Linked DNA regions of Saccharomyces cerevisiae S288C. The protein of the gene in region 1 interacts with the protein of each later gene in a biochemical or structural test. Each region holds a gene or a part of one and is shown in the gene's direction. Other genes may lie near its edges. The genes, in order: SIZ1 and SAW1.

The links.
Region 2: of the proteins of SIZ1 (region 1) and SAW1, one has a biochemical effect on the other in vitro, tested with the Saccharomyces cerevisiae proteins (one study listed by BioGRID).

Annotation. Positions count from the first base shown.
Region 1 is NC_001136.10:1,287,585-1,292,947, forward strand, and holds SIZ1 (SUMO ligase SIZ1), read left to right. Parts: upstream 1-1,821; coding exon 1,822-4,536; downstream 4,537-5,363. Other genes in the region: TRAPPII-specific subunit TRS120, read right to left, coding at 1-354; ADE8 (phosphoribosylglycinamide formyltransferase), read right to left, coding at 631-1,275; STE14 (protein-S-isoprenylcysteine carboxyl O-methyltransferase), read right to left, coding at 4,788-5,363. UniProt on the Saccharomyces cerevisiae protein: Acts as an E3 ligase mediating SUMO/Smt3 attachment to septins and PCNA. May be involved in chromosome maintenance.
Region 2 is NC_001133.9:92,744-95,972, forward strand, and holds SAW1 (DNA-binding protein SAW1), read left to right. Parts: upstream 1-1,943; coding exon 1,944-2,729; downstream 2,730-3,229. Other genes in the region: FRT2 (Frt2p), read left to right, coding at 157-1,743; aminophospholipid-translocating P4-type ATPase DRS2, read right to left, coding at 2,887-3,229. UniProt on the Saccharomyces cerevisiae protein: Catalyzes 3'-non-homologous tail removal of RAD1/RAD10-dependent single-strand annealing recombination intermediates. Plays a key role in targeting RAD1/RAD10 complex to 3'-flap cleavage substrate in recombination.

The DNA of each region.
Region 1 (5,363 bases):
TGGATACTTCTCCTTCATGAAATTCAAATTGGTCAAGGGGTCACTGTAATCGTTTACCAGCCCAATAATGACAAATGTTTTCCGAAATGGCTCAAAATCATACAGAAACAACTCCAATGCATCGTCATGATCTATGGTCAAGAAGTCGAAAAATAACTTCCCATGTGGAAAGCCTTGCGGTGTGAAGATAGGGCTGTCAATGGGGGTTACATCAGACAGATGAATTTCGTTGAATTCAGAAAGTTTCTGTACCGCATTATTAAACTCTTTTCGCGTCCAATGGCCAATTGGTATCACTAAGGTCCTAATCTTAGATGGGCCAACATAGCTTGGGAAATGCTTAAGAATATTCATGGTTTTTGTCTCCCTGTAACAGGTTGTGAGCCGCACCTTAAACCAGTTATACTAGAACCGTTTAAACTACAATCTGGCCTGATTTTAGTTTTGCAATAACACGATTAAGCGTTTACACATGCACATTCATATATAAGTATACGTATTTACACACATTTTATTCGAAACCTTTAAGATCGTTTTGTCACAATCCATGATCATGATTTACGACGCGAGATGTTTCGCGCCTCACTTTGAAGAATGCCAAATATAAAAGTATAAATATGGGAACTATTCTTATTTGTGAAGCTGCTGTAAAACCTTATATGTAGCTTCTACAATCGCGATGTGCTCAGCATCGTGTACCCTTTGCTCGTACTGCTCTAGTGTTTCTTCGCCAGGTATGATTTCTAGCTTTTTTACCACCAATGGCTCACCCTTGTCGACCTCCTCGATGACATAGTGCACCATGCATCCGGCCGTCAGAGGCTTGTTCTCGTCCTGACATTTGCGCCATGCCATTTCAATTGCGTGTGTGGTACCATCGAAACAACCTGGTAGCGCTGGATGCAGATTTAATATCGGCACAGATTGCAGTTGGCTCAAGAAAGTAGATCCAAGGATCAATAACCAGCCCGCGCAGATGATAACGTCAGGCTTTTCCTCGAGCACTAGTTTTGCGAGGTCGTTCTCAAACTGGGATCTTGCCTTGGCCCTTGCGGCTTTGTCCTCCTTCGCAATACCCTTTGTATATGGGTATAGCGAACAAACCTTTGTGGGGATATTATTGTCCGCTGCCCTAGTTAACCCGTATGCCTTCTTGCTGGAAGATATGACAGAGACAATATGAGCATCCTCGCCTAATTGGCCCTGCTTTTGGGCATCGATCAAGGCTTGCAAGTTGGAACCTGAGCCCGAAATTAATACGACAATTCTGGCCATAGCTTTTGGAAAGATTATTGATGTGTGTTGGCTCTCACCTGCGCTTGCTGCAAGTTAAATCATCAACCTTGAGGCTAGGAGCGTTATTCAACTTTAGAAGTGTCTTCTCTTCATAAACTACTCTATATAACTTTCCTCTTGCTGGAATAAAAAACAGGTCAGAGTCACTAGCAACGAGTCACTCATTCGAATCCTTGCTGACGCTTTTAGTCTTTATGCTGAAATCTATCTTCGAAGTCGGAAGGAAAATGCATTTTTAAACTATCACTAGAACTACCATTTTAGAGCGAGCAGAAGGTTCCTCTTTTCTTAAACAAGTATAATTTTCCTTTTTGGATTGTACTTTATATTCTTACACTAAACGGCCCCTAGATGTCACCTGAGCTGTAGTCAATGTATACACCCATTCACCGCACCAGATAGTAAGTTGAAAAGTGTATCATCTTTAATATGAATATGAAAGAATGAAGTGGAGTTCATCCATATTTCACAAGAAAAGAAGACTCCAACTCAAACAGTTGAGTGTTCCATATACATTCTGTTTCAATGATAAATTTAGAGGATTACTGGGAAGATGAAACGCCTGGGCCTGATAGGGAACCGACTAATGAACTAAGAAACGAGGTGGAGGAAACCATCACTCTGATGGAACTGCTGAAAGTGTCCGAATTGAAGGATATTTGCAGGTCTGTATCTTTCCCGGTTTCCGGTCGCAAGGCCGTTCTACAGGACCTTATCAGGAATTTCTTGCAGAACGCTTTAGTAGTAGGCAAGTCTGATCCTTATAGAGTTCAAGCCGTTAAATTTCTGATAGAACGGATCAGAAAGAATGAACCTTTGCCTGTTTATAAAGATCTTTGGAACGCTTTAAGAAAGGGTACCCCATTGAGTGCTATCACAGTACGTTCTATGGAGGGGCCTCCCACGGTGCAGCAGCAATCACCTTCCGTTATTAGGCAGTCTCCCACTCAACGGCGGAAAACGTCTACCACATCTTCCACATCTCGTGCACCACCACCTACAAATCCAGATGCCTCTTCTTCTTCATCATCTTTTGCTGTACCGACAATTCATTTTAAAGAGTCTCCATTTTACAAAATACAAAGGCTAATCCCTGAATTAGTGATGAACGTGGAAGTCACAGGCGGAAGAGGTATGTGCTCTGCGAAATTTAAATTGTCCAAAGCAGACTATAATCTATTAAGTAACCCGAATAGCAAACACAGGCTATACTTATTTTCTGGGATGATTAATCCATTAGGATCCCGAGGTAATGAACCCATCCAATTTCCATTCCCAAATGAATTAAGGTGCAATAATGTTCAAATCAAAGATAATATAAGAGGTTTCAAGAGTAAGCCGGGCACAGCTAAGCCGGCGGATTTAACGCCTCATCTCAAACCTTATACTCAACAAAACAATGTGGAGCTGATATATGCCTTCACCACGAAGGAATACAAGCTATTTGGGTACATTGTAGAAATGATCACTCCGGAGCAACTCCTGGAAAAAGTATTACAGCATCCAAAAATTATTAAACAAGCCACGTTACTTTACTTGAAAAAAACACTTCGGGAGGATGAAGAAATGGGCTTGACTACCACATCTACTATCATGAGTCTGCAATGTCCAATTTCGTACACAAGAATGAAATACCCTTCAAAATCAATAAATTGTAAGCATCTGCAATGTTTTGATGCATTATGGTTCCTACACTCCCAACTACAAATTCCTACGTGGCAATGCCCAGTATGTCAAATTGATATAGCTTTGGAAAATTTAGCAATTTCCGAATTTGTTGATGACATTTTACAGAACTGTCAAAAAAACGTTGAACAGGTAGAACTTACTTCTGATGGTAAGTGGACAGCCATATTGGAAGACGATGATGACAGCGACAGTGACAGCAATGATGGTAGTAGAAGCCCAGAAAAAGGTACTTCAGTATCGGATCATCATTGTTCTTCTTCACATCCAAGTGAACCGATTATCATAAATCTCGATAGTGATGATGACGAACCAAATGGAAATAATCCTCATGTTACTAATAATCATGATGATAGCAACAGGCATAGTAATGATAACAATAATAATAGTATCAAAAATAATGATAGTCATAATAAAAATAATAATAATAATAATAATAACAATAATAATAATAATGATAATAATAATAGTATCGAAAATAATGATAGTAATAGTAATAATAAACATGATCATGGTAGTCGCAGTAATACTCCCAGTCATAATCATACTAAAAATTTAATGAACGATAATGATGACGATGATGATGATCGACTTATGGCGGAAATAACTAGCAATCACCTTAAAAGTACTAATACAGATATTCTAACTGAAAAAGGTTCAAGTGCACCCTCGAGAACCCTGGATCCAAAAAGTTATAACATAGTTGCTTCAGAAACTACTACTCCGGTGACAAACAGGGTTATTCCTGAGTACCTCGGAAACAGTTCCAGTTATATTGGTAAACAATTGCCGAACATTCTGGGAAAAACGCCTTTAAATGTGACTGCTGTTGATAATTCATCCCACTTAATCTCTCCAGATGTTAGCGTATCATCCCCAACGCCAAGAAACACCGCTTCAAATGCAAGTTCGAGCGCTCTCAGTACCCCTCCCTTAATAAGAATGAGTTCATTAGATCCCAGGGGATCCACTGTTCCCGATAAAACAATAAGGCCTCCCATAAATTCCAACAGTTATACTGCATCGATATCAGATTCATTTGTCCAGCCTCAAGAATCTTCAGTTTTTCCACCACGTGAACAGAATATGGATATGTCCTTTCCTTCCACCGTGAACTCAAGATTTAATGATCCACGTTTGAATACCACAAGATTCCCTGATTCAACATTGCGTGGGGCAACTATTTTGTCGAATAATGGGCTTGATCAAAGGAATAACTCTCTACCAACAACAGAAGCAATCACGAGGAATGACGTCGGGCGACAAAATTCTACGCCTGTACTTCCCACGTTGCCCCAGAACGTCCCAATTCGTACAAACTCTAACAAGTCTGGGCTTCCTTTGATAAACAATGAAAACAGTGTCCCCAATCCTCCCAACACTGCAACCATACCGTTGCAGAAGTCCAGACTCATTGTAAATCCATTCATTCCAAGGAGGCCTTACTCTAATGTACTGCCCCAAAAAAGACAACTTTCTAATACATCCTCAACTTCACCCATAATGGGTACATGGAAAACGCAAGATTATGGAAAGAAATACAACAGTGGTTAAAAACGAGGCTAAAATTGGACGGTTCCGTCCAGCTCTTTCATGAAATATTTTCTTTGTAATTGTGCATATGACCTTCATTTTCTATAATTTTCCGTTCGAAAAAGAAATATTTTCTTCTTTTCAATACTCAAAGGCAATATCACTGTTTGCATTCCCCTAGCATTTATTACCTACCAAATACAGATGCACAAGATTAGATAAAATCTTACATAACACAAAAATCCAGTCCATAACTAACACAATCATTACTATTATATAAAAGGTATTCCGACACCAACCTTATTCTTGTATTCTATGTATTCCGCGCTAAAGAACTCTATCAAATATTTTTCTTCCACACGAATTCTATCACTGAAAAATTTCCAAAGTACAAAAATGAAAATAACCAATGATAGGGGATTTAGAAGCAGTAGCTGAGTGCCAATTGCCCACCAAAAGAACCCAAGATAACTTGGATGTCTTGACCAGGAGTAAACGCCAGTTTTCACTAAAACATGATCGGACTCCTTCTTGGTCTTCACAATATGAGAAAAGGAATGTCCCGCAGTATGCATAGCAATAGTTCTGGTATATTGTCCCAGAATAACTAGAAGACATCCAAGTACTGTACAAAGCTTGGTAGCTAGAGAGTAGCTAAAAATTTTCAGATCAGGAAAAAGAAAGCTTTCTACGAGGCATTCCAGAATAGCAAAGGAATGTGCCGCCATGTAACTTTTGCCGTTGTTCAGAAGAAAGGACTCTGAATGTACCTTAAGAGGATTGTATTTAGCTGTAATATAATACTCCAAAAAATGGAATAAGGACAGGGCAATAATAAAGAGGTTAAA
Region 2 (3,229 bases), on another chromosome or scaffold:
AAAGTTTAAGAATAGCCCTAACTGTTACCTTTTGAAATAAAATAAGGGGAAGGTCAAAAAGCTATTGTTCTATTGTTATGAAACATTGTCTCAAAGAGTAAGAATAACACAAATTGATGGCAGTTTTTTACGTAGTCCAGTAGTTGTCCAGGTACAATGCAAAATGCTCAAATAAAGAGCTCTTCTAAAGGCAGCGGAATAGATGGTACAGATCGCAATAGCAAAGATGGTGTAGAAAAGAGACCCCTGGAAGATGTAAAGCAAATGATTGACGCTGGAACACCAGATGTTGGCCACAAATCTACTGTTGAAACTAAGCCAAACGTTGGATGGCAAGCCTCTCACAGTAATTTGGCTGCATTACACGAAAAAGAGCAGAAATATGAAATGGAGCACCATCATGCTCGTCATAAACTGCATCGTCAAGTTATTCCGGATTACACGTCTGCCTCGACCGCAATGTTCAGCGATTGTATGTTCAACGCAGCACCAGATAAAGTACGAAGTCTCAGTACGATGAAGTCTTCTGGACTCTCGCCAAAACACCCATTTAACGTAGTCGCCACCTTTAAAGGACCATTCCCGCAGCATAGTGTAGAATCAAAGCCTCTCGATGGTGGATACTCTGCCAAAGACCATTTTCCCTCATTTAAGATGTTGCAAGCCCAGCAGCACCCAGCCCATCGCCATTACAAAGACAACGACAAGTACGGTCTTAAATCACCTTCCCGGTCCTTCGTGAAGGACAAGAAAAGGTTGGTTCACCGGTTTTTGAAATCCATGGAGCCTTCTTCGTCTGGGCAATCTAAGGATTCGTCTGCACTGGCGCCGGCTTTCGATCCAATATTGCCCAATGTTATATCTAAGCCTTCCAAGCGACCCACACATCATTCGCATTCATCAGACGGGAGTTCTAGCACGCAGACAGATATATCGTTACAGAGCTTGCTTTACCATGATCTTGAAAGCTCACCAAAGAAACATGTTTCGCCCTCAAGACCGCCCTCTGTAGCTTCCGAATCCTCTCCTGCCGTTGCTAATCCCATTGGGCTTTCGCCAAAAGACGCCTGCAATGCATCGTTTTCGCAGTCGTCCTCATCTTCGTTGTCTTCTTCTTCATCGTCTTCATCATCGACGTCATTCTCACAGTCAGTGGCTGTTGATCCTCTTGAACCTCCTGGAAATATCACATATAGTAGTTCGAATCTTTCGCTAAATTCAGATGAATTAGACTACTATCAGCGTCATATCGGATTGCAGTTACAGCAGACAGAAGCTTTACTAAAGCACAGTTTGAAAGATGAGGTTCTGAAAGATGAAAATGACCTTGTTAAAAACATTGCAAATTTTGACAAGATCGTTAAAGAGCTAAGGGACTTAAGATCCAGGACCATTGGATGGAAAGAGCTTGTTGAAGAGGATTATTTAATGAATTTGAAACAGGATTTTGACAAGGAAAACCCCGAATCATTTGAGGCACGTTTGAGTGATACAATAAATACAAACGTGGCAAAATTACAAGATTTAGAGAAAAGAATGGCTTCTTGCAAAGACAGGTTGGCCTCTAGGAAGGAAGTAATGAGGAAAATGGAAAGTTTATTGTCTTTGGAGAATTCCTTAATGATATCCAAAAAAAATGTAACATTCGCATCTAAATACCGCAACGAGGCCCTTGATATTGTCTTTTTAATTATCATCATCGTCATATGCTATACCTTCAAGCATCTAGTATCGCATAAATAAAAAATAGTATTTGTATATCAAAAAATGATCCTGTGATTTTTTCATATGTAACGTATAAATGTAAAAATGTGCTTCTTCTGGTATTTTTAATCAAGTGGAAAGATGAGTGGAAAAAAGGGCAATGAAATAGAAAAGGACAGGCCTGAAAGGGAAGAATACAAGAAGATTGAGTATATTGGACTTCACAGTAACCGTGAAAAATGGCACCAAGTATAGCAACGGTAAAGATAGCCAGGGACATGGTTTTGCCATTACGTATATTTGTCAATAGAAAGCAGATCCTTCAAACCAATGATAAGACTAGCAATAAGTCGAATGCCACTATATTTGAAGCACCATTATTATCAAATAACTCCATAATCTGCTTAAAATCACCAAATACAAGAATATATTTATCGCAACAAGATAAGAAGAATCTTTGTGACGAGATCAAGGAGGACCTGTTATTGATTGTTTACGAACTAGCGTCCCCGGAAATCATCAGTTCCGTACTCAGCAAAATAAGAGTTGGTCATTCTACTGATTTCCAAATCAACGTTCTGCCCAAACTTTTTGCAGGTGCCGATACGGATAATGCGGTAACTTCTCACATCCAGTCTGTGACAAGGCTGGCTAAATTCAAATACAAGTTGCACTACAAACATAAGTGGGAGCTCGACATATTCATCAACAGCATTAAGAAGATCGCCAATTTAAGGCACTATTTGATGTTTCAAACATTAACATTAAACGGTTTCTCATTAAATGCAGGACCCAAAACGTTATTAGCTAGGAAAATAGAAAAACAGCCCCAGGTACCTAATTTGTTAATAGAAAATGGGGACGCTGATGCCCTGGATACACCGGTGGAAGAGGATATAAAACCTGTAATAGAATTTATGTACAAGCCTGTTATTAATTTAGGTGAAATTATTGATGTACATGTGTTGCATAGGCCTAGAAGACATAAGGTACGTACCCAGTCGAAGCAACCCCAGGAGGAATGAAAAACCGATAACAAAGTGATGGCTTAATATTATAACTTCTATATAACGGATATATTTTATGGTAAATGTACATATTTCAGTAATGGTAATAATGACTTTTCTTTTTATCTTATTTTTATTTTTGTATTTTTTGTCTTCTGCTCTTTGTTTCTGTGCCTCATATATCAAATGAAATATCATCTCTCGAAGAACTGAATCTATTTGAATTTTGATTACCATCAGCAAATGGATTTTCAATGAACGGTTCTGCACTTTCAAAGTCGTTACTTCCCAGTCCATTATTGTCATTAAAGGGGTTCGCCGAAGCATCTTGTAATTCACCGTACTTACCTCTCTTTTGAGTAGTATCATACATTCTGACAATTTTTTCTTGCCCACCCTCTTCAGCCTGTGAAAAGGCAAATCCTCTTTGTTTTTTCATTCTTTGCACTTGCCTCACCTTCCTGATGGCATTTTGAAATTGCTGAACGTGCGGCCTAGAGTCGCTGATATTGTATTTC